Rattus norvegicus: one gene and its partners. The protein of the gene in region 3 interacts with the protein of the main gene of each other region in a biochemical or structural test. Links are inferred from orthologs where the notes say so. Each region holds a gene or a part of one and is shown on either strand. Other genes may lie near its edges.

Region 1 (4,312 bases), about 84 Mb from region 3:
CGGCTATAGGAGTATGGGGGGGAATATACATAGAAATTACAGAGATCTAAACCTCAAGGGAAGTCACATTAAATAAATGCGCATCTGGCTGCAATGAACTTACTTGGAGGGAGTCACTAAACATTCCCACACTGCCTTTTTACCTTGATTTCCTCTGGGGCCAGGAGGGCTGCATCACTGACACTCACTGGGGCCACTTCCTCCATGGTTATGGCTGGCAGATTCGACACAACTTTAATTTCAGGAACAGGCTAAAAAAGAGATAAGGCATTTAGTGGGGAGAAGAAGTGGGGCAAGCATTGGCCACAAACTTTTTTTTTTTGTTTTTGTTTTTTTTTTTCAGAGTTGGGGACCGAACCCAGGGCCTTGCGCTTGCTAGGCAAGTGCTCTACCACTGAGCTAAATCTCCAACCTCACAAACTTTTTTTTATAGAGTTGACTTCTTCTGCACATGTTAGGGTTGCTGGCTTGGTGTTTTTTTTTTTTTTTTTGGGAGGGGGGAGGGTGAGGAGGGACAGGAATGTCCCTGATCACTGACTCCTTCACCTGCTCTCAGGATGCTTTCCTCCTGCTGGGTTGCCTCGCCCAGCCTTATGTGAGGATCTGTAACTACTTTTATTCCATCTAGTGCTGTGTTGGGCTGAGATCCCTGGGATCAGGGAGATGGGAAAGGAGGTGGATCTCGGGGCGAGCGAGGGGAGGTGGGTGGTAAACTGAGAGAAGGAGAATTTTTTTAAAATCACACACTAAAAATAAATAAATCCATCCATCCATCCATCCACCCATCCATCCATCCATCCATCCATCCATCCATCCATCCATCCATCCATCACTGGGCTGACTGGAATGACCTTGACAACAGGCAACATCAAAGCCATCCCAGTAGCATTTACACCTACATATCCACACCTCTCCACCTCAGCAAAACAGTACTCCATGCCACCTATGTGGGCATTCTCAAGCAATTCCATGTACTTAATAAAACTTGGTGATTAATTATCACATGGCTTTTTGTTTTGAAACAAATCTAAGCTCTCTGCAGAGATATACAAAAAATGCTTATGAGAAAAATACAAACTATTTAAGCTACTAGAAATCTATCTTCATATATTAGCATGAAATGGTACAAAACTATTTATAAAACTAACATAATGTATATGAAGGAATGTTAATATGCTCAATCTTTCGAGAGGCTGTATATGGGTCTGTATAGCTACTGTCATTTCAAGATACCAGTGTCTAAGCCAGGCACAGAGGACATTGTTCGGGGAAATGTCATAAGAGCAGAACCACATGAGAAGAGGACAGGAGCCCAGACCCTAAGCAAGAAGAACTGTGGAATGTGAAAACAATCCCTGTCAAGCAGGCCACTGTCCAGAGATTATGAGAAATACTGTGCTCCCCTACAGTCAAAAACAAATAGGGAGGAAATCTCAAAATACAATACAACATGGCAGCTGGTGAACAGTTCATGTCTGCAGAGACAGTGTGTAAACTATGGACACACATATGAAAACGAAAATATTAAAAGACCTGTAACAGCCAGGTGCATTCCTAGATTCAAGTGTGAAACATTGACAATCCTTTAGACCTTGGCAAAGCAGGGGCTGCGGAAATGGTCAGGGATCAGGTGACTGGTATGAAAGCAAGTTGACCTGAATTCAAATCACCAGTCTCCATGTAAAATATGCGCACAGGCTTGCTAAGTCCATCGCTGGTGAAGAGGACATAGGCAGAACCTGGGAGCTCACTGACAAGTTAGTCTATCTGAACAATGACCTTCTAATTCTGTGGAGAGGTCTTGTCTTAGAAATAGGTTGGAGAGCAATAGAGGAAGACACCTGATGCTTCCCTCTGGCCTCTGCATGCTTGCATCTAGACTAGTCCTTAGTTCATAACAGTCAAGAGGACAGCAATGGGCAACCTGTGAGCAAGCACCAACATGATGGTTCAAGCCCGTCTCAGGGAACTACAGACAGCTGCAAGTAGATGGGCTTCCAAGGAGTCAGCAGAATCTCAGCCAGCCCAGGAAAGGCTCAGGCTGGAAAGGAGACTGAGAGGTCTGGGACTGGCTGGAGCACATTAGGCAGTGCAGAACACAAGAGCCCAGTGCTAGTTCTGCCCCTCCCACATTCAGTGTGCTCATCTGCTAAAGGGATAGTTAGACAGTGAGTGTTTGGGCAGTGAAAGTGACGTAAGCCCAGGACCTAATACGACTTGCAGAGGCCACCAATCAATGTGAGGGAGACACCATCACACAATTAAGCACAACTGAGGGCCAGGAGAGGAGGAATCAGTGAGGCTCAGGGCTAAAGGTGACCAGGGGCCTGCTGGAGAGCAGGCTGCAGCAGGATGGAAGGCAGAATTAACCCAGGAACAAAGTGACCGTCCCTTACAGAAGCCCTGTTGTAACTTGCAGCTGTGTGTCCTGACACCAACTGAGAAGAAGCTCTCCAGAGCTCAGAGCTGTTCAGTTCACACGTGCTACTTTTTCTACCACACTGTAAATTCACATACCGGTTTGGGGATGAAGTGGAAGTTTGACAGGGCATCCAGTTTTAGGAAGAGAGAATCCATCATCTTCTGAATTTCTACATGCTCTGGATTGTCTTCTTCTTCAGCTTTTTGCTAAATGAGCAAGGCCAACGTTAGATGAAGTAGCTTAACTGTACCACAGAAAAAACAGTACAGACAGTGAAGGTGCCCCAGTTTCTCAGAACCACAGCTTTACCGCCCAGCAACTCTAGCCATCCCGGTGGCGCACGCCTTTAATCTCTGCACTCAAGAGGCAGAGGCAGGCAGATCTCTGTGAGTTTGGGGTCACACAGGGCTACAATGAGATCTTGTCTCAAACAAAATAAAAAGCAAAAACAATGGTTTTGTGGGATGATGGTACAGTAATTCCCAACACTCAGGAGACGGAGGCCAGAGTACTACAAGTTCAAGATCAGCTTGGGTTACATAGTGTTACCTTGTTTGTAAAAGGTAGGAGAGAAGAAGAAATGTCCCAAAAGTAAAGTTGCAGGTATAAGCACTATGATGGTGCCAGTGCCTACCAAAGACCACAAGGGTGCACATTAGTACCCATTACCTCTGAAATTTAGAACAAACAGTACAATGCCGATGGCATTTCCCAACAAAAGGTAAGCTAATCAAAGTAGGACCAAAGTTTAAGGGCTATTAATGGATGTTGGTGAGGATGAAGAAATTGGATTCCTGGGAATTATTGGTAGCAAAGTGAAACGATGTAGCCATAGCGGCAGCAAGCTTAGCAGGTCACGGAAGGTTAGACTTAGCATTTCCCTCCTAGATATGGATCCAAGGAAACTAAAGCAGATACACGCATGCACGCACACGTGCACATACACTTAAGAGTGGGACTTCCTATACCCAGAAGGTGAGAACAGTCCACATGTTCAGCTGGAAAGTGGATCAAGAAACTGTGGCCCATGTATAAATGGAACACTATCCAGCAATAAAGTAGAAATGAAGCGCTCATATATGCTGCCCAACATAAAGACATAATGCTAAATAAAAGTCACAAATTACGTGACTTCATTTACACAACAGGCAAATTCACAGAACTAGGGTGTAACAGCAGGGGGGGGAAGAGGAAGCAGTAGATTATTGAGCAAGGACTGGGGAGCTACAAACAGGCGGCACTTGCTTAAAACTACACTAAGTGCTTCCCAATTATTCATTTACTTATTCTTGGTTTTTCAAGACAGTCTCGCCATCACAAAATATGTTTATTTTAGTCTGAGTCCTAGCATTTTAGGAGTGTCTGACAATCTGTCTAGGTAAAATAAAATGTTTAATTTTGTGTTGTGAATGTAATTTGTTCAAGGTTTGCTCAGATTATTCACACTGATATGGAAAAGACAGTCACTTGAGTTTAGAGTCAGGCTGTTTTATTTATGTTTGCTCTTCCCCTAGCACCAAATACATACTCTGAAAGGTAAGATGGTATTTGTTTGCTTCTATTTGTCATAATTAAGATATAGTAGAGGTGCAGAAGGTGGGGAGGGGGGCACCCACATGAGTAAGAAGTGACTGGCTCTGCCTGTGGCCCAAGTCAGATAACATATGTCATTAGCACTCATTCCAATAAACCCAGGTGAGGAAATAAGTCTTCCCCAGGATATGGTCTTCTCGCCATCCAACTAGAAATTAATCTTAGAATTTAAAAAACAAGACAAACAAAAAGAGCCTATGGGAGATCATTTCATAAAGAAATAAATTACATCAATTATTTCAAATGTCAAAGCAGTTGCTGGGACGTCAGTAGTTGACTACACTCAGTGGGAACATT
Region 2 (5,267 bases), about 110 Mb from region 3:
TTTGGACACAATTCATATTTAGCCTCCCTTAAGCTATCAATAAGTACACACATATTTAGCCTCCCTTAAGCTATCAATAAGTACACACTTAGAGCTTATCACTACAAATCAAAAGGCTTTATTTCGTATTAAAATAAATAAATAACAAAAAACTACTCAGGCTTAGCCCCGCCTTCCTCCCAAGTCCAGGCTGGGAGGAGGGATTTCACTGGGAAGGGGAGAGGGAGTGGTCACATCTTGGCTGAGGGGTGTGGCCTCAGTGGAAGAGCAAGGCTCAGGCAGTGGAAGAGACGAGGACGACAGAGGAAGGGGTAGGTTTCTAAGGCGTGTCCATGCTCTGGCCCTGAAAGCAGGGGTAAGGTAAGGACCCAGCTGCTCCTCTGCCTGGGCAATGCGTCGAGCAAAGCGGCTTCGATCTCGTGCAAACTGCTCCCAGGGGCCTCGACGAGCAGCCTGGGCTGGTCCTGCCCAGACAGCAAGGAAATGGACTGTAACTTTCTCAGAGAAGTGCACCTGGGGACAGATGGACAGCGGCAAGAAATAAAAATCTGTCACGCAAAAAGTGCTTGGTATTTTAATAGTCACCTGCCTGCCTGCCCCTCTGACTCACTCAAGACACATGTTCAGGGCCACATGAGCTACAGCTATCATTCTTCCTCCCTCTTACAGGAGATTGCAAGAGAGTGAACACAGCCTTCCTGGCAGAGTTCCTATGCAACAAGTTGCAACACATGGCTCCCTGGAGTCTCCACCCCCAGCACACTTCCTTAGGGATTTTTCCAGACCACACCCCCCCACTCCTCTTCCTCCTCCTGACTCAGAATCTAGGTCCTTTGAATAAATTATATATTTAAGAAAAAAGGGCAGTATGAATCCTATTGTAATCCCAGCACTAGGACTATAAACTCCTTAGCCACAAAGTAAGCCACTTTAGGATCTAAGCTGCTAGCACTCACCTTTCTACCCTTCAGAGGAATCTCAGGGTCCTGATTCCGGGCGGGGGCTTTGAAAGATCTGAGCCGCTTCTGCAGTCGAAGGGGCAGCTTAGGGGCAGCCCAAGGTGGTGCTGGCTTCTGTCCAGGTAAATAGAAGGCCACCTGGAAGGGAGGGGGCTCTGCTTCTCCACATCCCTTGGTCTTCTCTACTGGTAGACAATGCTGGGTACTCTGGCAAGAGTCAACTGTTTCTGAGTCAACTGGGGCCACATTCTCACTGTCGTCTTCCTCTTCTGTGTCCTCTCCTGGGCGATAGACCCAGGCCTTCAGGAAGGCACTTGTATGGGGGGTGGTACAGCTCTGAGCTGTGTCTTCCTCAGCTGAATCCCAATCACCGTCATCTTCCTCTTCTGTGTCCTCTCCTGGGCGATAGACCCAGGCCTTCAGGAAGGCACTTGTATGGGGGGTGGTACAGGTATGAGCTGTGTCTTCCTCAGCTGAATCCAAATCACTGTCTTCTTCCTCCTCTGTGTCCTCTCCTGGGCGATACACCCAGGCCTTCAGGAAGGCACTGCCAGAACAGACAGAAGTCTCAGGTCCTCCTTCCTCAGCCTCTGCATTCTGACAAGGGTGACTCTGCCCTGCCCTGTGTTGCTCTGGCTTAGTTTCTCCCTCCTGCTTAGGCCTCTCTCTAGTGTGGTACTCCCAGACTCTGGAGTGGGAGCCTGAGGGTTCAGCCTTATTGTCTGTTCCTTTTTCCTCCGTGGCTCGATGTTCTGCCTCCCCTGGGCAATACACAGAAGTGCTGGGTTTATATCCTGGAGCTATGGAAGCAGCAGAGGCCTGGTGAGCCTTCTTCACGGTTTCTGTATCCTCTTCATCCTCAGCTGGACCACCCTCCCAGTGTGATGTGGGATAAGCCAGCTCGGACACACCCTCTTCTCTAGCCACCACCTCCCCAACTTTCTTATCTGCCCCTTGCAGGTGAAGGGGCTGTAGTGTAGGCAGGCCAGCTGTGTGCTCCACTTCTTGCTCTCTAAGGCCATCTTGTCCTGGCTTCCCATTATGTTCATCAATATCTGAAAGTCCCCAAGTTTTAGGAGGGGAACTTTGGGCTTCCACATCAAGGCAGAGCCTCTGGGCTGCTTTACTCCATTCAGGAGTTCCATTTCCTTCAGTCTCTCGGAGAGGTAGGTGATTTTCAGAGACCGGGGGAGGCGTCAACAGAGCATCAGCCTCTATCTGGTTTGCTCCTGCTACTGTTTCTGCCAACCAGGCCTCTGAGACCTCGGGCCCCCTCAGGCGGCTCCAGGCCCGGCTGAGGAAGCCCATCAGTGGAGACAGGAGGTAGAAAGAGTGGGCTTCCTTCCAGTGCAGGACATGCTGGGGTCTTGGGCTTGGGGCCATGTGTCTGGCCTAGAAAGGGGGAATTTGTTTAGAAGTCGCTCTGGAAACAGTATCAGGTCACAGCACTGAGTCATTGTTAAAAAATAGTCACAGCAGCGCGTGAATCCCTGCCTCAAATTCCTAATAGCATTGCTCACACCCAACTCCGCCACTTGGTTCTTCTCTCAACATTCACGTTCTACATCCTCAGAACCAAAAGCCCACACTCTTAAACCCTTTCCTTAACCCCAGCCACAGTTTCTGGCTAGCCCTTCTGAGACCTGTAAGCGTCTGGCTTTTTAATAACCTTTCTCTCCTCAAGCTTGTGCTCAGGCCCCTAAAACCTCCTCCTGCCTACCTCTTAGACCCAGGCTGCTCCTCCTGGAGTCCCTCTCTTTATTTAGCAATGTACAAGTACTGCAGTTCTAGTTCAGGACCCCTGCCCTTCAATGTAGAGACTAGACCTGGGCTCTCCTCTCTCGGACCAAATAAAGCATCCGGCTTTCAGTGCCGTTTCCTCAAATCTGGGTTCCTCCCCAGTCTGCCCCTCAGATCCCACAACACTCTCCTAGCCTCCTCGCCGAAGAAAGTCCTCCCCAGCACTCCCCCAAAGGCCGCCCCATCCCCCACTCACCGGCGGGCTGCGCGTCACCCCGGGGGCTGGAGGTCCGGTTCGGTTTGCCAAAAGCGGTCGTGGGTCCGGATTGCTCTCAAGGCCAGCGCGTTCATGTCGCCCTCAGGCGTGGGGCTCGGGGACGTGATGTCTCACGGGCTGTCGCAAAGGCTGTCCCGGCAAAGGGATGCGGAGTCGCGCGGGGTCTCGCATGTAATCTTCCACAAGCTGCGAACTGAGTCAATCTGCGCCAACACGATCACCCGGGAGTTTATAGTCTGACGCAGCGCTATGCTGACGTCACCGGAGAGGCGGAGTTTCGGAAGTCCCTGAGAAAGGTGGAGAGAGGAAAACAACACTGAAATTCTCGCGGAGATTCCGGGCCTTGTGAGGTCACCGTGGCTTCCCAGGCGTGTCCTTGGCTCAAATCCAGAGAGCCGTCAATCTCGCAGAACTTTTGAGCAAGCACGCCAACTTCATCAGGCAGTCACATGCCGTCCCATTCTCTTTCTCTTTCTCTCTCCCTCTCTGTCTCTGTGTGTGTGTGTCTCCTCTCTCTCTCTCTCTCTCTCTCTCTCCTCTCTCTGAGAAGCAGGGACTAACCTGCTACTGCCTCCAGAGTGCTGGGATTACAGGAGTGATTTGGTTGGGGAGAGGTTCGAAACAGGACTTTCTGACTATCCGTGGCTATCTTGAACTCACTCTGTAGACCAGGCTAGCTTCAAACTCAAAGGTCCGCCTGCCTCTGCCTCTCAAGTGTTGGGATTAAAGGTATGGGGCCACCACACCCCGCGGCTAGCAGTGAATTTTTATTAGAAGATAGCAGTGAAGTTTTATTAGAAGACAAAACACCCAATGTTTTAAAATATTATTTATGTCTTTTTTTTTTTAAATGTAGGAGTGCACTATCTGCATGTATATCTGCATGCCAGAACAGGGCATCAGATCCCCACCATGTGGTTACTGAGAATGAACTCAGGACCTCTGGAAGAGCAGCCAGTGTTCTTAACTACTGAACCACCTCACCAGCCCTTGTTTGTTTTTCCAAGATTAGTTCTGGCTGTCCTGGAACTCACTTTGTAGACTCGGCTGACCTTGGGCTCACTGGGATCTCATTACCTCTACCTCCTGATTCTGGGATTAAAGACGTGCACCGGGGTTGGGGATTTAGCTCAGTGGTAGAGCACTTGCCTAGCAAGCACAAGGCTCTGGGTTCGGTCCCCAGCTCCGAAAAAAAGAAAAAGACGTGCACCCTGGGCTGGTGAGATGGCTCAGATGCTCTCCCACACACCCCGGCCAAAAGAAAAAGATTTTTTAAATCTTTATTTTATATGTTTTCCGTGTGTGTGTGTGTGTGTGTGTGTGTGTGTGTGTGTGTGTGTGTGTGTGTGTGTTTGTGCGTATGTGTGAGTATATCATGTCTGGTGCATATGGAGGTCGGAACACGGGTGGAATTGGAGTTAGAGACAATTGTGAAGCTTCTCATGGAGGGTTATAGGAACTAAATTTGGGTCCTCTGCAAAGAGTAGCAAGTGATTAGGCCCTGACCCATCTCTCTGGTCCCTTGGCTGTTTTTGGTGTGTCTGTCTGGGTTTTGTTTTGTTTTCAGACAGGATTTTTCTGTGTAGCCCTGCCTGTCCTGGAACTCACTCTGTAGTCCACGCTGGTCTTGAACTCAAAGAACAGAAGTCCACCTGCCACTTCCTCCTGAGTACTGAGATTAAAGGCATGTGTCACTATGCCTGTCCAGTCTGTCTGTATTGAGCAGGGTCTTACAGTATAGTCCACACTGTCCGGGGACTCACAGGGGAAGAAGGCCAAAGAATCTTTGGGCAATTCTCCTCCTGTGTACAGAGAAGCAGTGACCCCACCCAAGGCCTGCCTTCATGGAGTCTCCTCCTTCTTTTTTAAAAACGCATGTTTCTGTTTCCTTTGTTTTGTTTTTTCTTTTGTCAGGGACCTGTATTGTTTTTCCAGGAGTGTCTGGAACTTACTATGAAACCTGGGCTGAACCCGTGTTGCCCCAGCTGCCCTGGTACTCTCGGCAGTCCTACCCAGTATGGAGGGTACAAGTGTGATCTCAACAGATAGTGTGTGGAGAACACCGCTAAACAGACTCTTTGTCTTCACACACAGGTGTCCATGTTTTTTGAATTTATACAAAGGTTTGGCTTATATAATTTGAATTTCTGATTGGCCTGCATTCTCATGGGGGTGGGGCTCTGTTCAAATCCCAGATATAGATCCAGAGATCCAATTCCAGCCTTCCCTCCTGGTGTGTGTGTCTCAGAGACAGACAGAGAAAGAGAGTGTGTGTAGCCTGTATGTGGATC
Region 3 (5,113 bases):
AAGTTTCTGTCTGAATCTGATTAACTGTATTAGGTAAACCTGGAGAAGAGAATGAAAGACATCCGAATTCCCATCTGGAGTTCTTGGGCCAGAGATGAAAAGGGAAAAGATGTTCAGTTTGAAGAGAAAGTGCAGACCCTCGGGGGATAATAGAGATGTAAAAGACCTTCCCTCCACCACCCTTCTTACCTTAATCCCACATGGAACCTGAGGAGTGACACTGGAATGTCACAGCTGAGTTCTGGGCTGGTGTCTACAGCAAGACCCTAGAGGCCAGGCCTGATTCCAGAACTCAGTCCTCAGCCTCTGTCCCCTACCATCTCCCCTACCCATGCCTCACTTACCCCAGCTCAGCTGAGTTGCCCCCAATGAAGCCATATCGGTCAGCCTGACGATATGGGCTGGACCCACTGATCTCTGAGTCGGACCCTAGAGAGCTAGAATCATCCTGTAGTTCTGACGGTAGCAACAAGTCCTCTCCCAGGGCCTGGGCCATTCTGCCCTAGACCCCAGTGTCACAGGCTGCAAGACATATAGAGAGCCAGTGTGAACAGCCAGACTGAGGCTGGGGTTCCAGGAACCAGTCCTCAGTCACGGGGGAGTCAGGTAGTCCCTGAGGTACCACAAAGACCAAGTCTCTGTGTAGAGACCCACCCCAGGCCTGGCCCCTAGCCCAGCTCACCTCCTTGCTGCACCTCACCTCCTCCTCTCACTTCCTCCTCAGTCTCAGCTTCAGCAGCCTATTGGGGGCCCCTCCCTGGTGGGGGGACTCCCCCCTTCCTCTATGAGGTTCTTCCTGCTTGCCTTAGTGCCTGAGCCACGGACTCCTCCCATCACGGATGGGAGGTGTGAAGAGTCCCCGACTTGCCCAAGTTGAAGATGACAGGCCACTATCGGTTTTGAGGTTACTTGCGTGTAAAACCAACTCATGGTTCCAGTAATAATTATGCTTTAATGTCGTCCCACCACTCCAACCCACTGTCCTGGGTTTTCTTTTTTGAGAGTGAAAGGGTACAGTCTGGGAACAAGGGTCTCACGTAGCCCAGGCAGGAGATGAACTCACTATGTAGTTGAGCATGACCCTGAACTTCTGATCCTCCTGTGTCCAGACTCCTGAGTGCTGGAATTTCAGGCACTGGAATTACAGGTTTATGATACATTGGGTTCTTTAATGTGTTACTGTTTAAAAATAATACCTTTCCCCCCTTTTCTTTCTTTACTTTCCTTCCAGAGCCGGAGATAAAACCTCAGGCCTTGCACATGCTAGACAAGTCCAAGCATTCTACAAAGGACTTACAACAGGAAGGAGATAAAATAGTATTACATCACTTAACGAAAAAAAAAACCTGACGTAGCAGGCACCAAGGCAACCTGGACCAAAACATTGCTTCGAGTTCAGTAGCAGGTGTTCATGGGTCTGGCCATAAAGACCGAGGTGAATGTGAGGCTCTGGAGGTTTGGAGCTCACTCTCAGTGTCATTGAGCCTTAGTTCCTTTTTCTGCACTTCGAGGAATTACTTTACAGTGTTTGAGAAGTCAGCGATTAACATGCTCACACCACAATCCCACGCAGGGCTGGGGTGGGAAGAGACTTGGAAAGAGAAAAACAATTTCTACAGTACTTCCGGTTCTAACTCATCAGAACGCAGCAGGGCGATTCCTCCTGGGTGGAGCCGACCCAACTCCGCCCTACAAACCCCGCCCTCCACCCCTGCCAGGCCTCGCCCGGCCGCCCGAGGCCCTCCCCGGCTGCAGTGCTTCCGGTCCAGGGGAGGCGCTAGAGAGCAGGGAACTACGGACGCGGCAGGGCGGGGCGGCCGGCCGAAGAGGCGGGGCGGCGGGCCGAGGGCGGGCTGGGGAGGGCGGAAGGAGAGCCAGGCCGGAAGGAGGCTGCAAGAGGGCGGGAGGCAGGAGAGGGCCCGGAGCTGGTGGGCCGGAGCGGCGGCGCCGCCATGTCCGACAGCGAGAAGCTCAACCTGGATTCCATCATCGGGCGCCTGCTGGAAGGTGGGTAGGGGTAGGGAAGGTGCGCGCGCGCCGAGCCTGGGCCCATCGCCGTCCGGAAGTAGAGCGCGGGCGGGCCCGCCGCTCTCGGGGGCTAGCGTCGCTTGGGCGGGGACAGGCCGTGAGGTTCTATGGCCACGGCAGCCCTCCCTACTCCCTGCGCCTAGGCTTTGGAGCGCGCTCCGAGGCCGGGGACGCTTGAGTGGCCGAGACTCAGGGTGAGACTCCTGCGAAGCTAGCTGGGAAGGGGTTCTGAGGCGAGGAAGCTTCGGTTGACAGGCTGCTGAGCACAGGCGTGTCTCTGGAGGGCCTCCGGGTGGCTAAGGGGTCGTATCTTGCCTTTGAAGGCCTGATGCAAAGGTTTCAGCGGGGGCTCCCTTGCAACAGTTGCTGGTGTTGGGGAGGGGCGCATGACATTCGGTCTGCGAGGTCAGGGTCCCAAGACCCTATTCCGTACCCAGTGCAGGGCTCACGGCCTGGAAAGAATGTGCAGCTGACAGAGAACGAGATCCGTGGTCTTTGCCTCAAATCCCGGGAGATTTTCCTGAGCCAGCCTATTCTTCTGGAGCTTGAGGCGCCTCTCAAGATCTGTGGTAAGCCCTTGCTCAGAACCCCTTAGCTTCCTCAAAATAGCCCCTTACTCCTGCCCCAGTACCTGTGTTTCCGTTGCTGGCCCTGGGTTCAAGTTTACATCTTGGACCTACCTAGTCTTCTCTGGTTCCCAGGTGACATCCATGGCCAGTACTATGACCTTCTACGGCTGTTCGAGTATGGTGGCTTCCCTCCAGAGAGCAACTACCTCTTCTTGGGGGACTATGTGGATCGGGGAAAGCAGTCTTTGGAGACCATCTGCTTGTTGCTGGCCTATAAGATCAAATACCCGGAGAATTTCTTTCTACTACGTGGGAACCATGAGTGTGCCAGCATCAACCGCATCTATGGCTTCTATGATGAATGTGAGTGCTTTGAATGTTGCTGGTTGCCCAGAACTACATTTCCTGCACTTCATGGGCCCCCTAAATTGTTCTAGTGCTGAGAACCCTGATGATGGGTCCTGCAAAGCCCCAACCAAGCTGTCTGTTATCCATGGCACCAAGGAAGGGCCTGGTGAATGGATGTACATGCAGGGCTGCCCGTTTGCTAAAGCTTCCTCCACAGCCCTGCCCGATGACACTTCCCTCTATTGCATCCCTTACTAAGCATTTAGGGTGCATGTTATGAATAAACCAGACACTGAGGTTAGGCCAGACTGGAGTTCAGGTTCTTGTGGACCCAGGTGTTGGAATTCTGGAAGGTAGATGAGGGCAGAGCAAGGAAACTGTAATAAGCTTTCTTTGCCTTCTAGTCTTTGCACTTTGTCAGAGTAACCCACAAAGTACCCTGGAGGAGTGCACAGAAAACTATAGACTGGGTTTTGTGTGGTGGGTGGTCTTCCCTACGAGCCATTTTCTTCTGTGCAGGCAAGAGACGATACAACATCAAACTGTGGAAGACTTTCACCGACTGCTTCAACTGCCTGCCCATTGCAGCCATTGTAGATGAGAAGATCTTCTGCTGCCACGGAGGTCAGGATGGTTGTGGGGTCTGTGCTTGGGCTATATCCTTAGGGGCCTTGGAAAGTTAACAGAACTCTCCTGTTTCCTGGAGTAGCTCTCCTTGAATTTGGCTGTCACTTATTACAGGTCACCCACAGCCCAGTTTGTTTTTGAGACAGGGTTTTTCTGTGTTCTGGAACTCACAAGAGTTCTGGTTATCTCTGCCTTCCAAGTGATGGGACTAAAGGCCTGCACCACCTCACCTGGCTACACACCCCAGTTCGACTGCGCTTTCCTGTTGTGGTATTTAGCATGCTATAGGCAACTCATTCATCTCCTTCCCCCACGGAGGTCTACTCTTTTTTTTTTTTTTAAATATTTATTTTATTTATTATATATGAGTACACTGTAGCTGTCTTCAGATACACCAGATCTCTTTATAGATGGTTGTGAGCCACCATGTGGTTGCTGGGAATTGAACTCATGACCTCTGGAAGAGCAGTCGGGTGCTCTTAACCGCTGAGCCATCTCTCCAGCCCGTACTCTTTGTACTTCTAAAAGCTGAGGGATGGCCAGGTGGCGGTGGCATACAAAGGGAGTTCCCTGGGTTGGGGATTTAGCTCAGTGGTAGAGTGCTTGCCTAGCAAGCACAAGGCCCTAGGTTCGGTCCCCAGCTCCGGGAAAAAAAAATGTTAATACATAAAATATCCAATAAAAAAAAAACTGAAAAAACATATTCCTAAAAAAAAAAAAACAAAAACAAAAACAAAAAAAACAAAGGGAGTTCCCAGACAGCCAAGGCCACATAGAGAAATGGGGCCAGCAGGAATATAATGAACTCTGTTTCCCTAAACTTAAGGAGCCCAAAAGATGAACCCAGCGTTGGTGGGGAAAGTGGAGCTGACCCCTGAGACCTTTCTGGGCATGGGATAGTACCTGCTTTTCGGTGTAAGGAACACTATTCTCACTCTACCACCCCAGGCCTGTCTCCAGACTTGCAATCCATGGAGCAGATTAGACGTATTATGCGGCCCACGGACGTGCCTGACCAGGGCCTGTTGTGTGATCTGCTGTGGTCTGACCCTGACAAGGATGTTCAAGGCTGGGGCGAGAATGACCGTGGAGTCTCCTTTACCTTTGGGGCCGAGGTTGTAGCCAAGTTCCTGCACAAGCATGATTTGGACCTCATCTGCAGAGCACATCAGGTGGGCTAGTGGCCTGGGGCAGGCTGTGGGGATGGCTAGCTGCTTAACTTAAGAGACCAAATGGTTCCTGTCCTTGCCCAGGTTGTAGAAGATGGCTATGAGTTCTTTGCCAAGAGGCAGCTGGTGACACTCTTCTCAGCTCCCAACTACTGTGGCGAGTTTGACAACGCTGGCGCCATGATGAGTGTGGACGAGACACTCATGTGTTCCTTCCAGGTGGGTGTGGGAAGAGATCCTTATGCGCTCCTCCCAGGTGGGTGTGGGGAAGAGGCTGCCTGGCTCAGTGCCAGGACCTGATCAGGGTTCTCTCTTTCAGATCCTCAAGCCCGCTGATAAGAATAAGGGGAAGTATGGGCAGTTCAGTGGCCT
Region 4 (5,251 bases), on a different chromosome or scaffold from region 3:
ACCTTTATTTTGAAAATCTCTTAAACTCCTTAGGAAGAGTGTTTGGCTTTTAATAAAGATACAAAATTACATTCACCACCCTGTTCCTAGAAAGCTGGCAGCTCTGTAAGAATCAGATTCTCCAAGGTTCCCTAGAAGGCCTTGTTTTTCATCTCCCACATAAGGCCTTCTTTACTAATCCCCTGCTCACTAGAGATCAGGAACCCCAGTGGATGGAACATTCAGGTCCCAAGGTAGGTGTGCTGCAGAGGTACCTGGCAAACTGCTTAAAAGATAAAAAAGACGTGTGGTAAATAGACATGTGGAAGAGGCCCTCCCATTCAATCAGAAGTCCAAGCAATGAGAATCCACACCCAGCAGAAAATTAGCCCTGTTGCACCCAAGTCACTATAGGACAGCAGGACAAAAGGCTTACAAACTGCCTAGAAACTCCACACTTCAACGCAGGACTTTAAATAAAAAATGAAAAGTATATGAAGAAAATGTCAAAGACTTGACTTTGAAAAAGTTGGGGAAGAGCTAAGGAACCAGGCGCCCAGTACTGCCCTCACGGGCGTGGCTCTCAACATGCACCAACTGCCCCAGCACTCAGCAGGGAGGAAGAGGACATTCCTCTCCTCAACGCTTTAATGGAATTTCTTTTTAGGAAGCAAGGAAAAAGAAATTCAAAAAGGTGACTCTTTGGGAAAAAGAAAGGTTGTGAAATGTAATACCAGAAATGTTTTGCTTACCAGAAACCGTAGCTTGACTCCCCCTGCCTCGAGTTTACAACTGCAGCCTCCTTTCCTAAAGATTCACTTCTCATCCTAGTGCCAACATACAGGAACTAAGCAACTGCAGGTGATGGCACTGAGCACAAAGTTTATCCCCAAACTGAGAGGTGAGAATAAGGATGGTTTACAAGAGAGTCCTACAAGTACCCACCCTCCCCACCAGACTGACACAAAGCAACCAATATTCAGGAAGTACAAGGACCCATCCTGAGCAGCATGGCACACTGCAGCTCATCAGGCCCAATTGTCTACTCGTGTTACAAGCCCTGTGTCTTGCCCCAGTCTCTCAGAGCTAAAGCAGTCGGGGTTGGATTGGTTTTCACCCCTATCAACTGAAGCAGGGAATAGGTCCAAGCAGTTGTGATGAGAGGAAGGTGAAAATCAAGGCAATGGACTGTTAAACACAAAACCTAGAGCTACACAAGGACAAGGACAGCCTCCCTCCCTAGTGTTCATTAAGCTTTTATCCCTGTAAGATATTTCATAAAAGATAAAAGAAAACAAGAAAAAAACTATTCTCCCCAGCAGCAATCTGCAAGGGGAGAGAAGGCATCTGCTTGGGGGTGGAGTTTTCAGAGAGGAAGCAAGCTGATTACATCACCTTTCATAGTGGCTCCTCCCCCTTGACCAAGCTTCTAGGGAAGCCCTAAGCTGACTGGCAAAAGAGAAAAACAAAGGAGGGACGCCATTTTGTTATGGAGAGGATTCAAAACTTAAAAGCCGGCGGCCAGATCTGCCGGCAGCTTTACTTACACTATAAGGCACTAAGTAAACCAGAAGTCATCCCCCCGGCCACCACCCTCAACTTGACCTATCTTAATTAAGTCTAAGAGCCTACTACTGAAAATAAAACCAATTAATATACAATTTCTTGCGGGTTAAGAATATGAATTTGCACCTCAAATTCAATTTGCTACTACACCGACCACCCCAATCCTCCCTATAAAGGGCAAGGAGGAGGATTTGGACCCCTCAACAAATAGGACTGAGGTGGGGGGGGACACAGGAGAAAAATGGGTCAAGACACAACCTGCAACGCCGCTTGCAAGACAAAAGGACAAGGAAAAGTCGCCATATTTGAAGCAGGGAAGAAAAAAGTTCTTTTAACGACACAAATCTTCTAGAAAAGATAGCATTCAAATGCACTAATGGCTTTTAAAGTTATCTTCCTGAGTTCCACATTTCCCAACCTTTCCACCCTCTTAGCTGTATCCACCACCCACTAAAAAGTATCAAGTTAAAATGTTAATCATTTTGCCTTTAAATAACCTATGCAAGCTGAAACAATCACAAGACATTCTTTACCTCCCCAAATGTTATATTGTATGTACTTGTTACTATGATTATATTTTGCCCTAAATTTAAGTGTCTTGCAATCTTTATTCCTAGATTGCCACCTATTTTAACCACACAATATATCCCAAGCAAATTACATTAAAACTGAGAGGATTTAACAATCACTTTAAAGACATAGCCAGCTAATATTTCTCTCTGCCCATCTCCTTACCCTGCAATCTTTATGTACAGATTGCTTATTAATCTGGCAAATTGAAAGGCGTTCTGCTTGTCTCACACACAAAGAAGTGGGACTTCTGGGCCACAAGATCCACCATCTTTTGTATGTGAGCTCATTAACCCTTTTGAAGACTGCTAACCAGAGGAAGGTAACCATTCCTCCTTATAATAGCAAAGGCTTATGCTTTGGCAGTCTGGAAATTTGCTGGATTATCAAGGGTTAACCGTCAAAATCCTCACTGGCTGGCCCTCCCTTCACCCTCTCCTTGCCTGCTCCACAGCAGGGAAGAGGCAGGTGGTAGGGGAGAGAGAACAAAGACTGTTTAGACCCACAGGACCTTTAATGGAGATTTAAGAGACCCGATTGGTCCTTCTCCAGTACTCTACGTTTGTTCTATGGTCTCATTTCTTCCTCTCATTATTTTTGGTTTCACAACGGGAAACGTTGATTTCTTGTTCAAGGCTGGTTTTTGAAAATTCGACACTTACTATCCAATTTTTTTGCGACGTCAGCACCTCGGGCTCAGGGGGGAGGGGTAAAATTTTGGAGGAAAAAAAATAAAACAACCAACCAGGACCCAAACTCAGTTACTTGTGGGGCCTCATTGGATCAAAAAGTCTCTTAAAAAAGTAAAGACCAACTCAGTTTTCATTTTCCCCCCACCCAACTCCATTAGGGAGAGGGGGTCGTTGAAAAAAATTCTGAGTGGACTCCAAAAAGGAAATGCTGGATGAGTGAGATTGGGTGGGTTTGGGTAGGGAGGGTGGTTGATTATTTTTGAAGTTATGTGGTGACGGTCCTTCGGCCACAGATTTCAAGTCCCAAGCAGCGTGGGCTGGTGGGGTGGGCAAGATAGGTGGGGAGGGGCAGAAGACACAAGTGGTTGGGCTGGTGGCTGCTGTTTTCCCTTTCCCCCCTCTCTCAGGATCCTTTCAAGGGTTTAGATGTTGCTGAGGCTTGTTTGTTTTCCTGATGGCCGGCCTGTCTTTCTCCGAGAAAATTCAACCTGGGGTAAAAGGAACACAAAAGGAGAAAGATGTCATCAGTACGGGTCGCCTTTAAACGTTTCAAAATTCCTTGTTGTCCCAGGATGCAGCCGCATTAGGTAAAAATGCGGCTGCCCAGTAAATCCAAAAAACACCCCACTTCCCCGGCCAACCGCTCTCGGCAAAACGTTACCCTCAAAGCGACGGAGCACCCAAACTTACCTCTAAACGAACCCCAGAATGGCGGCCGCCCGCTCGGGCGGAGTCTTTTATACCCGGCCACCGCCCAACGCACCCTAACGTGATGGAGAACCGCCCTCGTCGTGACACATTGTGCGCGAGGGGAACGCTGATTGGCCACAGTAAAAGCCGGGTCGCCCGCGGATTGGACGTCCCTCCTCCACTTTCCTGGAGTCCCTTCCCTTAATCCCCTCTTCCGTCTCCTTCGGATCACCTCGGAGCCAGCGCGTGATCGCCGTGTCCGGCACCTCCCCTTCCTCTGCCCCCAACACTTCCGCCCGGGCAAACGTGTCTCACCCTCGGTTGGTCGAAACGACCGTACGCATGCGCACTGGGAGCACCTTAGTCAAAATCGCAATCAAAATTGCTTTCGTGTTAAACACTAACCATGGAATTTATGAGCCATCGTGACTGGTCCGGGAGAAATGCAATTTTGAACGCTAGTTCGATTGTGACGCAGTTTAAATTCGCGTCCCTCCGCGGACCCCGCCCTTTGACGCTTCCGTCCTTAGGCACGTGAGCTGCCGCCTTCCGCCTTGCGGGGCAGGTCCTTGGCCCCGCCCTAGTCCTTGTCCGGCGCATGCGCAGTCGTTCTTCCGGCAGGCCGTACGTTGGATGTGCGACAAGATGGCTGCCTCCTTGCGGCACACGCTGCTAAGGCTGTATCCTTCACTCTTACGAAGTTCCTATGTAGCTCAGGTAAAACGTGGAGGAATTTCTCTGCCGACCGGTGGTGTCGATACTTTCAACCTTTGCTGCATTACGATGAGTTAAGGGGCACGGGTCTTCCCATATGTTTACGTGTTAGATCTGCACCACCCTCTGTTCCCACGGCGCGCGATTTCTTATATTTTTGGTTGTGAGCCTAGCCTTTAACGGCTGAGCCATCTCTCCAGCCCACGGCGCGCGATTTCTAAATACTGAGCGTTCGGGTCAGAACCAGGGTTACGTGTCATCGTCTCCCCCCGACTACCATTAGGAAAAAGAACTAGGTGGTGGGGTTACCCCAGTGGAAATGAGCAATTCATAACTAGATCGTTAGTACCTGAAGTGGTACCCAGAAAGTGTTTTTGTAGCAAAGGGCCTATTTTAAGATTTTCCCCCCCGTTGTTCCGGAGACAGTCTAGGTTGATCTCATAGGTGCTCCCTGAGCTTTCTACCTCTGGTTCCCAGGTTATGGAATTAAAAGCAAGATACACCACTCCTACTCCACCTTTTCACACATCATTTTCTTATCAGAGCATGCGTGAGAGTCTAATTCTGCTCTCTAGATTGAGATTGCCCTTTAGCCTGAGGTACTCACCACCCTGGAGGTTCTTGGCAGGGCAGGGAGAAATAGGAAGGCTTGTCCGGACGCCACTCCCTAAAATGGGACTACAGAGTGGTGACAGAGGTTACCACCGAAGTAATGACAGGCTTGGTGGCTTTAAAGCTAGCGTTAGCACTCACATTTGTTTTGCCCTGTGGAATGTTGACGCAGCATTTTATGAAACTGGTCACCGAAGTGACTTTGGATTTTTCTCATCGATTTGAATCACCCCTGCTCCCCATGAATCTTACTTCCAAAGGTTTGGACATATTTTTTCCCAGTAGAACCAACTAATGCTCAAGCAAGCTCAGATCTTAGTATGCCAAGGTTTTTAAATCGTTACATCCCACTAACAACCTCTACCTTGCTGGCTTATCCTACAGGATCTGATTGGGGAGCCTAGGTAGAGTGGTTGTCAGTTTAACAA
Region 5 (5,172 bases), on a different chromosome or scaffold from region 3:
GTGTTGGGTCTCTTGAAACTGGCAGCTGTGTGTGGTTGCTGGGAATTGAACCCAGGTCTGGAAGAGCAGCCAGTGCTCCTTCTCTGCAGCCCCGTTGGGCCATGATCATTAAGACATTTACCCTGCAGTTTTTACTTATTTGCATGGCACACATGTATAGGTTGGAAGTCGGTGCTAGGTATTTTCTTCCCTAGCTCTCCAGCTAATTTTCTGAGACAGATTATCGTATCAATCTGGCTACCCCAGGATTTACACTGGCTTTCATGAGTAAACGCCTGAACTCAGGTCCTCACGGGTACATGACAAGCATGTTACCGAGGGAGCCATTTTCCTAGCCCCGCAGTTATTTTTCATTTATTTCACGCATACTTATTTCACATGTACACCATGTGTGTCTGTGGTGACTGTAGACTGTTGAGGTTAGAAGACCGTGTCAGAGGCTCTGACACTAGAGTAATGGATGGTTATGAGCCACCACACGGGTGCCAGGAATGGAATGCCAATTCTCTGCAGGAGCGAATGTTCTAACCTGCTGAGCCATCTCTCCAGTCCCTCTACAGTCCACAGTTATTTTATTTTTCTGAAGGCCTACGATATCCCACAAACTGGCCACGATGATGAATAGGGGAAAAAGATAAGTCATCAGGAAGTACCCTGGGGTATTGGGCCTGTTCTCTTTTTTTTTGGGACGGGGGTGGGGGGGCTGTTCTCAAAGGGTTCTGAGAAGCATGCTCTCAGGCTGTCTCCAGTCCAGGTGTACTGTACTTTGCTTTTGTCTCCTGAAGGCTCTCCTAAGGCTCCATATTTTCACCTATGGCTTAGAGGACAAAGGGAAGCTTACAGTGCCTGTGGGGGAAAGGATACAAACCACAGAGTTCATACAAACAAAGCTATCTGCACATAGCTGAGGACAAGGTCATCCGTTCTCAGTATAGCTAGTAGAGACCACTCCTGGCTCTGGGAAATCCTTTCTCAGAACAAATAGCTTTTCCTTCCCTCTGTATCTAAGCACTATCAGAGGGGCACAGATTTTATAATTTTAGGGGTGACAGGGTGGTGGGAGAGATCATAAAGGAGGATTTCTCTCAGAAGTGATACTGCTAGGGCAAAATTCTTTGTAGAACAAGCCTGAATGCAAGGGGGGAGGAGGCAAGAAGAGTGTGAGTGGTGTGCTCAGCCACAGGGGTTTAACGGACTACTGAGGAATTAGAAGAGCAGGTGAGGACACCAGGTCTGTCAGACTGTGGCCTTCAAGGGAAGCAGTGGGAAGATGAGATTTGCTTTAAGAAAATGACCTGGGCTGTTTGTGGAGGGCAGACTAAAGAGGCACAATGGAAGCCTGGGGCAAATGCCTTTAACCCCAGCACTCAGGAGACAGAGGGAGGTGGACCTCTGAGAGTTTGAGGCCAGCTTGGTCTCCAGAACAACCAGAGCTATAACACTGAGAAATCCTGTCTCAAAAAACCAAAACCAAACAAACCAGGCAATGGGGGCTCACAACTTTAAGCCCAGCACTTGGCAGGCAATCTGAGTTCGAGGCCAGCCTGGTCTAGAGAGTGAGTTCCAGGAAAGCCAGGGATACAGAGAGACCCTGTCTGGGGTCGGGTCGGGGCGGCGGCGGCGGGGGGTGGGGGGGACCCAAGTAAACAAAAGGCACAACAGAGTTAAGGGAACGGATGGACCAGAAATCTAGGTAAAATAAAGGAACTTCTGGTTAAGGCAGAGTAATTCAAGTTAACTGAGAAGGACAGAAGGATAGTGTGTGTGTGTGTGTGTGTGTGTGTGTGTGTGTGTGTGTGTATGTAAGATGGTGGTGAGAAAATGTGGGAAGAATGAGCAGCTGAGGAGGAGGAGCAGCAGGAGAGAACAGGTGTTTGGAGGGAGGAGCAGATGCCATTGTTGGTACTGAGGCACTCATGGGACAGCCAGGTGGAGTACCAGGCTAGTGACACTAATCTGAGCGGAGGATAGCCAAGGTCCACCTGGGCCAGTAAGTTAGGTTTAGGGACCACCAGCACACGTATATAGGAAAATTGACAATATGAGAGGAAACTGAATTTCTGGGGCAATCCTTAACAGGGCTGGGGTGGGGGTGGGGATGGGAAATGCAGCTGCCAAGGCGGCTCAGCTCGGTAAACCTCACTACCTAAATCTGACCTCTGGATTCCACAGTGGAAACATAACTTTTGGAACTTAAAAACTTGGGGTTGGGGATTTGGCTCAGTGGTAGAGCGCTTACCTAGGAAGCGCAAGGTCCTGGGCTCGGTCCCCAGCCCCAGAAAAAAAAAAAAAACTTTTAGTTTTTATCAGACGTCTCAAAAAGTCTCCTTTCTTGGCAATAAGGTCTTGCTTGCTCTGTGACCCTGGCTGCCCTTAGCCTCACGATGCTGGAATTAATGGTATGTACTGCCACCTGGGACTGATTTCAATCAAAAACCATTTAAAAAAAAAGATTTAGTTTAGGTATGAGTAAGTAGGTAGTTTAGTGGGAGGTTTGCCTGCTTCTATGTTTATGCACCACGTGCATGCCTGGTGTTGGTAGAGGTCAGAGGGGGTGACTCCTTTCCAGGAAAAGGGTTCTGAGCTGCCATGTGGGTACTGGGACTTGAACGGCTGAGCAATCTCTCAGGCCCCCCAGACTTCAATTTTAATCAGATTTAGCAACCCGTAACTCAAACTTTAGCCAACTGGCTGCAACCTGAAACCTTCACAGTATGCTGCAGTCTAGACTTTGCGAATTCATTCAGGAGTTAACAGAATCTATTCTGGGTCACTTAAAATAAATCTTTGCAATGCATTCCACGGCAGTTAAAATCCAACCTCCCCTCCCTTTCCCCAAAGCCAGCGAAGTGACCACATTGCCCCCAGGTTCAATTTTATCTCAACACGCCCTGCGCGCCAACTTACAGATAGATTTCTCTGGCTCAGGGCACACTTAGCGTTCTTGCGTCTGCCTGCCTGGCTTCCTCCTGTCAAAATCTCAACAGAGCACAGGTGGCTTCCTTTAGAAGGACTTTCTCCTGCACTTTTCCACGCTACTGATATACATTCCCGCATTCACACGTGCTCCACTACACTGCCATCAGTTCTACCACCACACTGCCAGAGTTCTTCTCAGGGCTAACTCTCTAACGCACCCCAGCGCCTACAGGTACTATCCATGGAACACAAACAAGAAACACAAACGAGCCTCGGCGAACTGGGCCAGCGGTGAGCTGGGACTAGCGGTCAGGAGCTCTGCCGCACAGCCCGTAGCAGCCGCACCCGTGCCCACTGGCGCGACCCTCGCCGCGCGCAGCGGCGCGGACCCAGGCCCGCACCTGTGTCGCTCTGCGTCCTTGCGCTGAGATACTGCCGCAGTTTCCTCACGGCGCGGTCGCGGACGCCCTTCTCACTGGAGGCCAGCCGCTGTGCGAACTGGAGCTCGGTAGACTGCATGGCGGGAGCCATCGCACCCGCTTCAGCATCCCCGGGCTGCGCGCGTGCGGCTAGCCGCCGAGCGATCTGGATTGCGCCTGCGCAGGCGCCGCGGCGCGTGGGTGATGGCGTCACCGGTGCGCCGCTTGCCGCGCGCCCAGGGAGTCCGCGTGGCCCCTGTGCGAGTAGATACGTAGCCCCGCTACTGAAGTATATCCTGTGGGTGGTCCAAGTTCTGGGCGGGTAGTTAGGGTCAGATCTCCTCCGGCAGGACGACTACGGCTAACCTGATGCAGTTCTAGAGTCTAACCACAGCTAACAAAGGTCTGTCAGGGAAGCGGCGGTCCTGCCACCTCCATTCACCCGGTGTCTGTGAACTCCGCGGGCTTCCCTGAGCAGACTTGAGACCCAGAAGGAAGGCCATTATCCTGGCATCCCGAGGCTTACAACAGCACAGGGACAACTTCCACTCTCCCACCCTTCAGCGCCCCGTTCCCCTCAGGACAGTGCCTTGAGTCTTGATGCAGGCACGCAGCATTATAGAGGGAATGGGCCCTCTTCCAATGTGCTGGGACGAGTGCAGAGGGGGCGAGGAGACCCTTGCAGCGTTCTAGGACAGGTTCGGGATTTGGAGAAGAGAGAGAAACCCGTCCCTGAAGCAACAAGGGCACTTACAGAGGTGCGGTGTAGTGAACAATCCGTTCCTGCAGCGAGCAAGCCTCCCTGTCGCATCTTGGGACGGGTGCAAACTTGTTGAATGGGGAGTCAGCAAACCCATACCCACAACGACTGGGTCAGACGCAGGGATGTCCATTGGAGAGGGAAAAATTTTGAGGGTCTAACAGGGAGGGAGCTTGGCTCTGTCTTTAAGACCTCTTGCATTCAAAACACACAGTTCTGAGCAGTAGGTAGTGAGTATTGCTACAGTGAAACACCAGGATCAAAAAGCAAGCTGGGGAGGACTCCCATTTCCGTATTACTGTTCACCATGAAAGGAAGCCAGGACCAGATCTCAAACAGGACCTCAAAGAAGACAGGAACCTGGAGGCGGGAGCTGATGCAGAAGCCATGGAGGGATGTTGCTTACGGCCTTGCTCTTTGGTCAGCCTGCTTTCTTATAGAACCCAGGACCACCAGCCCAGGGCTGACTCTACCTACAACAGGTGGGGTCCTTCCCCATCAATCATTAACTAAGAAAATGCCTTACAGGTCTGCCTACAATCTGATTTTATAGAGACTTTTTTTTTTTTTTATTGAGATTCCCTCCTCTCATGGCTTTAACTTGTGTCAAGTTGACAAAACCAGAACGAGCAGGGAACACACTAAACCAATATGAAAGAAGTCTTTTAACAGTTATGCTTACTTTAGGGACATCCAAAACTCTAGGTCATCAAACATTTGAGAATTATTAGATTAGTATATTCTTCCAAGCTTTAGTTATTTCATTTTGAACCCCGCTCCCCCACCCATGTAGCCCAGGCTAGATTTCCCTTGCTGTGTAGCAAGTTGGTCTTGAACTCCAGCGTCCACCACCCAAGTGCTGGGACATAGGCATGTACCACTACATCTAGTTTCAAACCTCAGTTACCTAGCTAAAATAACTCTTCTGTGCATGCGAAAATGCATCCCTTAACACAGAAGCACTTGGCCAAGGGACGACGAGGTTCTCCCTGTGCGGTTTTTCAGTTTGTAGGTTTGGTTCTAGCATCCTCTCCGTAAACAGGGAAGGACGGATTCTGTTTGACACTCAGGCCT
Region 6 (5,350 bases), on a different chromosome or scaffold from region 3:
GGAAAAAAAAAAGAACCAAGAAAAAAAAAAAAAAAAGATCTCATCCTTGCAAGGTGAAGTTTTTACTGATATTAAACCTGAATTTAGGCTGGAGATGGTTTAACTGTGCTTTCCTACCACAAGAGGAACTCTAGATTCAGTCATCAGCCCTGAATAAAACTAGGCATGGTGGGGTTGGGGATTTAGCTCAGTGGTAGAGCGCTTGCCTAGCAAGCTCAAGGCCCTGGGTTCAGTCCCCAGCTAAAAAAAAAAAAAAAAAAAACTTTTAAAAACTAGGCATGGTGCCACACACCTGTAATCCCAGAGACAGGAGGATCTGTGCAAGCTCTTCTCTTTCTTTAAGATTTATACATTCTGGGGCTGGAGAGATGGCTCAGTGGTTAGGAGCACTGACTGCTCTTCCAGAGGTCCTGAGTTCAATTCCCAGCAACCACATGGTGGCTCACAACCATCTGTAATGGATCTGATGCCCTCTCTGATGTGTCTGTATAAATAAATAAATCTTAAAAAAAGAAAAGAAAAGAAAAGATTTATATGTTCTGTGTATGTATAGGAGTGCTTTGCCATATGCACGAGGTCAAAAGGGGGTTTCAGATCCCTTGGAGCTGGAGTTATGGGCACCATGTGCATGCTAGTTGGTAAACCTGGGTCCCCGACAAGGGTTGTAAACTGCTGAGCCATGTCTCTACCCACAAATCACTGCAAATTTGAAGCCAACATGGTCTTATATATCAAAGCCCTGCCTCAAAACAAACAAATTTCGGAACCTCACAGAGGAAACTAAAATGTACTAAAAGGTTAGGAGATGGGTTTGCTCTCAACAAGGGCACAAATTAGCTTCTAGGTTGAAATAGACATAAGTTTTTGTTGTGGCTGTTTTGGTTTTATTATTCCTTTTCTTTTTCTGATTTTGGTTTTTCAAGACAGGGTTTCTTTGTGTAGCCTTGGCTGTCTTGGTACTCACTGTGTAGACTAGGCTGGCACTGAATTCAAGGATCTGCCTACCTCTGCCTCCCATGTGGTGGGATTGAAGGCATGCACTACCACCATCCAGGAAAATATATAGAATGTTAATTACAATGATAGCCCAAAACACCCCCAAGCTTGCTAGACACTGGCTTTCAGTTGCATACATGGATGGACCTCCTAAGAGGTTTAATAAAGAACAAACTGACCCAGAAATTCCACTACTAGTCACATACGTACTGAAGAAAACTACATCTACACACAGGCTTATACAAGAATGTTCAGGGCAGAGCGTGATGACTCATACCGTCATCATTAGCTTGTGTGAGGCAGAGGCAGGCAAGTCTCTGTGAACTCAAGACCACCCTGTGATTCCAGGACAGCCAGGGCTACATAGTGATACCCTGAGGAAAAAAATAGTAAATACAATAGTATATACTAAATTCTTAAATATGGGTTAGCCACAAGAATATCACAGAGAATAAAATAAGCCAGTCACAAGGGTCCATATATTATGATTTCAGTCCTGTATGCATGCTTGGTGCTTTGTTTTGTTTTTGATGGTTGAGATAGGATCTCCCTAAGTAGCTCTGACTGTCCTGGAACTCACTCTGTTTACCAGGCTGGCCTCAAACACACAGAGATCTGCCTTCCTCAGCCTCTAAATGCTTGAATTTTTAAAGAAGCACAGAGAAACTTTGACTAAATAAATACATAAAGCAAGCTACATAAAGAGACAGTTTCCAACTTTTAAAAAAAAAGGGAAAAATACTGCAGTACATAACTTGATCACGAACAGCCTCGTTTGTTGCCCTGTGCTGATGTGACTGCTTGCATACTGAGACTTCACGTTTGTGCCAGAAGCAAGAACACCATAAACAAGGTCACATGGCACAGCACGGACGAGTGATGGCCCAAACACCTCAGATTCATGACATTTGATTTTTTAATTCGTTTTGGCCACATATTTGGAAGCCTTTACTCTTGTCAAATTTTTCAAGACTCATTCCATATGGAGTCATGACCTACAGTTTGAAAAGCTGAGATCGGGACTGGAGAAATAACTCAGCAGTTAACAGTACATGATATCCTACTACCCCAATTGGATGGCTTACAACCACCTGTAACTACAGTTCCAAGGGATCCAATAAGGGATCTAACACCCATGGCTCCAAGGGCCCCTGTACGCAAATGCACGTGTACCCCTACGGACACCTAACTGCAAATAATAAAAGTAAATCTTTGTGGGTTTGGGGCATGGGGGGATGAAGTGATGGTTCAGCTGTTGAGAACAATGCAACAGTTGACTGCTTTCCCAAAGTACCCAGATTCAAGTCCCAGGACCCAGTAGTGGCTCACAATCACCTGTAACTCCAGTTCTGGGGATCCGATGCCCTCTTCTGACCTCTCCATTTTGGTCTCTGAGGGGAACAGGCATGCACAAGTTACACAGTCATACACATAAATCTTTTTTTTTAAATGTCTTTAAATAATCATGAATTGGAAGTTAGTCTGTGTTATGAGGCTAGTGTGAGCTACCTTGTGCTACAGAGATGCTAGAAATGGAGTCCAAAGCCTCCAGGACACCAGACAGGCAGTCTACTTATGAGCTGTAATTACAAGTGTGTTGTTAGTCAACAGATGTGGATGCTGGGATTCCATCTGGTATTCCCTCAAAAAGGAGTGAGGGTTTTTTTTGTTTGTTTGTTTGTTTTTTCTTTTTTTTCGGACCTGGGGACCGAACCCAGGGCCTGTGCTTGCTAGGCAAGCACTCTACCACTGAACTAAATCCCCAACCGGAGTAAGGGTTTCTTAAGCATTGAGCCATCTCCCTGGCTCCTTTAATACACAATCTTTCCTTTAAAAATATTTAATATTAACTTTTTAAACCACGATAATTTGAAATTACTTGATAATTACAAAATCTAAGGCTCGCGGACTACAATTAAGAGGACATAGCACAGGTTCCACGCGTTTTTCCGAAACACTTTTCATGAACGACTCACTTTGACAACAGCCACCTCAGCTGGTGCTTTTTGTCATTTTCCAGGCTGATGCTCAAGGCCATCAGCTAACAGGTGGCAAAGCTTCCACTAGCGTTCAAACCTCTATACACCTTCAGGAACTACACAAGAAGAGGTTTCATGGTGCAAATGCAACGTGGGTTCAGCTCTCTGCTTGGTCACAGATCAGTGTACTCAAAGAGCCTTATGCCCCGCCACACCCCTTAATCGGACGTGCATCTGCGCAGGATAGTAAGCATAGCACAGGCGGGAGAATCACCCAGGGGAGCTATCCACCAGGGGGAGGAGGACGTATAGACCCTGAAGAAACAGCCAAGACTGTGAGCGACCCTACGCACGCTCTGCTCGCACTTCCACACAGGGACCAGAGCCTTCTGGGTAATCAGCATCTCCTGCACGTCTACAGAAGAAAGCGGAAGCTCCGGCTGAGCCGTCACAGGACAAAGCTCTAAGGCACCCGCCCTCTGCCAGCTTCAGAGCAGGGGGACGAGCCAGTCAAAGGCTGCGGGCGCTGGGCCCAGCCTCGTACCTGAGAGAGGTGACTCCTCAGCAGACCCCAGAGAGGTTGTAGCAAAGGCCCGCAGTCTGGGGTTTCGCGCCCTGCGTCTGCGGCCCCGCCCCCATCTCCACAGCAACGCGGCCCGCGCCGGAAGCTGATCTGTCGCGTTTAGAGCGCGCTGCCTTCCGGGAAACAGAGGCTCCGCTTCCTACGGTTTTCTTGGCCGGAAGTATCGGCGCTTCTTGGAAGCGTGTCTCCAGTTACAACTCCTGCACCCGACCGGTGTGAGACCGAAAAGTGTCTCTCCTCATTGCGTGGTGGCGCACGTCGGTAATCTCCGCATCAAACAGGCCAATTAGCCGAATCTTTAAAAACACAGCTTCCAGAAAAAAATATGAAGTTTCATTCTAAGAACAGTGAAAACTAGTGGGTGGGTGTCTGAAGACGAAAACCAAGGGGCAAGAGATATGACTCAGAAGTTAAAAGCACTTTTGACTCATCCAGACTCCCAATACCCACATGGTGGCTCTTAAACGGCTGTGACTCCAAGTTGCGCTCTCTTTGGACCTATGTACAGGCAAAACACTCATACTCAAAATTTTAAAAAGAGTAAGCCCAAGAAATACGGGTTTTGTCCTTTTACAAAGGGTGATTTTGTAATTCAAAGATTTAAAAGCAGTCATTTATGGCAATCATCTGTGGGAGGCTAAGGCAGGGGGATCCCTGCAGGTTAAAGACAACTGGCCTATTGAATGAATTTTAGTATTGCCTAGGCTGGAATGAGACTCAGAATGGGCAAGGAAATAGTGTTTAAATCCAGTCTGCTGAAATGACAAGATGGCCCAGCAGGTAAAGGTACCTGTCTCTGAGGCACAGGACCTGAGCTCAGTCTCTCGGATCCCTATGGCAAAAGAGGACTCACTCTCATAAGTCATTCTTTGACCTCTGGCAACAAGCCATGGATATGCACACAAAAAATAAAGGTAATAAAAAAAAATCTGGCCTGCTGGTGTATGCCTGTACTAGCTACTCCGGAGGCTGAGTCATGGGGGGAAATCACTAATTTTAAGATCACTGTCAGAATTTGGAAAGACTGTCTCAAAAACAAAAGAAAGGCATGGCGGGGGATGGGGGTGGGGGCGTTGCAGAGGCATGTGAATCTCTGTTGACTTTAAGATTAGCCTGCTCTCCTGCTCCTCAGAGTGAGTTCCAGGATAGCCAGGGCTACAGAGAAACCCTGTCTCCAAAACCAAAAAAACAACAAAATTATTGGAGTCAGGTGTGGTGGCACATACCTTTAATCTCAATACTGGAGAGGCAGAAGCAGGTGAATATGAAGTTTCAGGCTAGTCCTCTGCATAGGGAATTCCAGGCTAGCCAATGCTACAAAACAAGACCTTGTCTCAGAAGAACCAAAATAAATAAATAAATAAATAAATAAATAAATAAATAAATAAATAAAATAAAGTTATAGAGTATACAAAATAAAGTATATAGAGAAAACCAACCTTTGGGGTATAACTCTTACCTGAAGCTACAACTTCCAAGTATTGCTAAGGTAATTAGATTAATTTCTTTTTTTTTTAGATTAATTTCATAGTCAAAATACTAGAACTATTTTTTTTTTTTTTTGGTTCTTTTTTTTCGGAGCTGGGGACCGAACCCAGGGCCTTGCGCTTCCTAGGTAAGCGCTCTACCACTGAGCTAAATCCCCAGCCCCTAGAACTATTTTTAATTTACTATAAACTAGTCTTACAAGTAGCTTCACAAAATTATATGTTTGCTATATCCGGGATAAGAAATTATGTGTATGTGTACACGTGTCTGGTGGGGGAATGTAACTATGAGTGCAGGTGCCCTG

The links.
Region 1: the proteins of Ppp1ca (region 3) and Mphosph10 form a complex in vitro, tested with the Homo sapiens proteins (2 studies listed by BioGRID and IntAct). The link is inferred for Rattus norvegicus from reciprocal best matches to the Homo sapiens genes PPP1CA and MPHOSPH10.
Region 2: the proteins of Ppp1ca (region 3) and Ppp1r15a are reported together in a solved structure, tested with the Homo sapiens proteins (2 studies listed by BioGRID and IntAct, with this or other methods). The link is inferred for Rattus norvegicus from reciprocal best matches to the Homo sapiens genes PPP1CA and PPP1R15A.
Region 4: the proteins of Ppp1ca (region 3) and Ppp1r10 form a complex in vitro, tested with the Homo sapiens proteins (2 studies listed by BioGRID). The link is inferred for Rattus norvegicus from reciprocal best matches to the Homo sapiens genes PPP1CA and PPP1R10.
Region 5: the proteins of Ppp1ca (region 3) and Rrp1b form a complex in vitro, tested with the Homo sapiens proteins (4 studies listed by BioGRID and IntAct, with this or other methods). The link is inferred for Rattus norvegicus from reciprocal best matches to the Homo sapiens genes PPP1CA and RRP1B.
Region 6: the proteins of Ppp1ca (region 3) and Sfi1 form a complex in vitro, tested with the Homo sapiens proteins (2 studies listed by BioGRID and IntAct). The link is inferred for Rattus norvegicus from reciprocal best matches to the Homo sapiens genes PPP1CA and SFI1.

Annotation. Positions count from the first base shown.
Region 1 is NC_086019.1:127,362,067-127,366,378, forward strand, and holds part of Mphosph10 (U3 small nucleolar ribonucleoprotein protein MPP10), read right to left. Parts: intron 2,629-4,312; coding exon 2,518-2,628; intron 252-2,517; coding exon 144-251; intron 1-143. UniProt on the Homo sapiens protein: Component of the 60-80S U3 small nucleolar ribonucleoprotein (U3 snoRNP). Required for the early cleavages during pre-18S ribosomal RNA processing. Part of the small subunit (SSU) processome, first precursor of the small eukaryotic ribosomal subunit.
Region 2 is NC_086019.1:105,136,426-105,141,692, forward strand, and holds Ppp1r15a (protein phosphatase 1 regulatory subunit 15A), read right to left. Parts: upstream 3,172-5,267; 5' UTR 2,956-3,171; intron 2,352-2,955; 5' UTR 2,343-2,351; coding exon 957-2,342; intron 514-956; coding exon 163-513; 3' UTR 96-162; downstream 1-95. UniProt on the Homo sapiens protein: Recruits the serine/threonine-protein phosphatase PPP1CA to prevents excessive phosphorylation of the translation initiation factor eIF-2A/EIF2S1, thereby reversing the shut-off of protein synthesis initiated by stress-inducible kinases and facilitating recovery of cells from stress.
Region 3 is NC_086019.1:210,912,692-210,917,804, forward strand, and holds the start of Ppp1ca (serine/threonine-protein phosphatase PP1-alpha catalytic subunit), read left to right. Parts: upstream 1-1,884; 5' UTR 1,885-1,952; coding exon 1,953-2,007; intron 2,008-2,465; coding exon 2,466-2,597; intron 2,598-2,729; coding exon 2,730-2,960; intron 2,961-3,464; coding exon 3,465-3,569; intron 3,570-4,520; coding exon 4,521-4,744; intron 4,745-4,825; coding exon 4,826-4,960; intron 4,961-5,060; coding exon 5,061-5,113. Other genes in the region: Tbc1d10c (carabin), read right to left, coding at 345-496. UniProt on the Homo sapiens protein: Protein phosphatase that associates with over 200 regulatory proteins to form highly specific holoenzymes which dephosphorylate hundreds of biological targets.
Region 4 is NC_086038.1:2,838,895-2,844,145, forward strand, and holds the start of Ppp1r10 (serine/threonine-protein phosphatase 1 regulatory subunit 10), read right to left. Parts: upstream 3,525-5,251; 5' UTR 3,498-3,524; intron 3,296-3,497; 5' UTR 2,778-3,295; intron 1,024-2,777; exon of another isoform or gene 732-1,023; intron 1-731. Other genes in the region: Mrps18b (28S ribosomal protein S18b, mitochondrial), read left to right, coding at 4,131-4,214.
Region 5 is NC_086038.1:10,121,159-10,126,330, reverse strand, and holds the start of Rrp1b (ribosomal RNA processing 1B), read right to left. Parts: upstream 3,507-5,172; 5' UTR 3,451-3,506; coding exon 3,321-3,450; intron 1-3,320. UniProt on the Homo sapiens protein: Positively regulates DNA damage-induced apoptosis by acting as a transcriptional coactivator of proapoptotic target genes of the transcriptional activator E2F1.
Region 6 is NC_086032.1:82,269,154-82,274,503, forward strand, and holds the start of Sfi1 (protein SFI1 homolog), read right to left. Parts: upstream 3,559-5,350; 5' UTR 3,520-3,558; intron 2,388-3,519; exon of another isoform or gene 2,332-2,387; intron 1-2,331. UniProt on the Homo sapiens protein: Plays a role in the dynamic structure of centrosome-associated contractile fibers via its interaction with CETN2.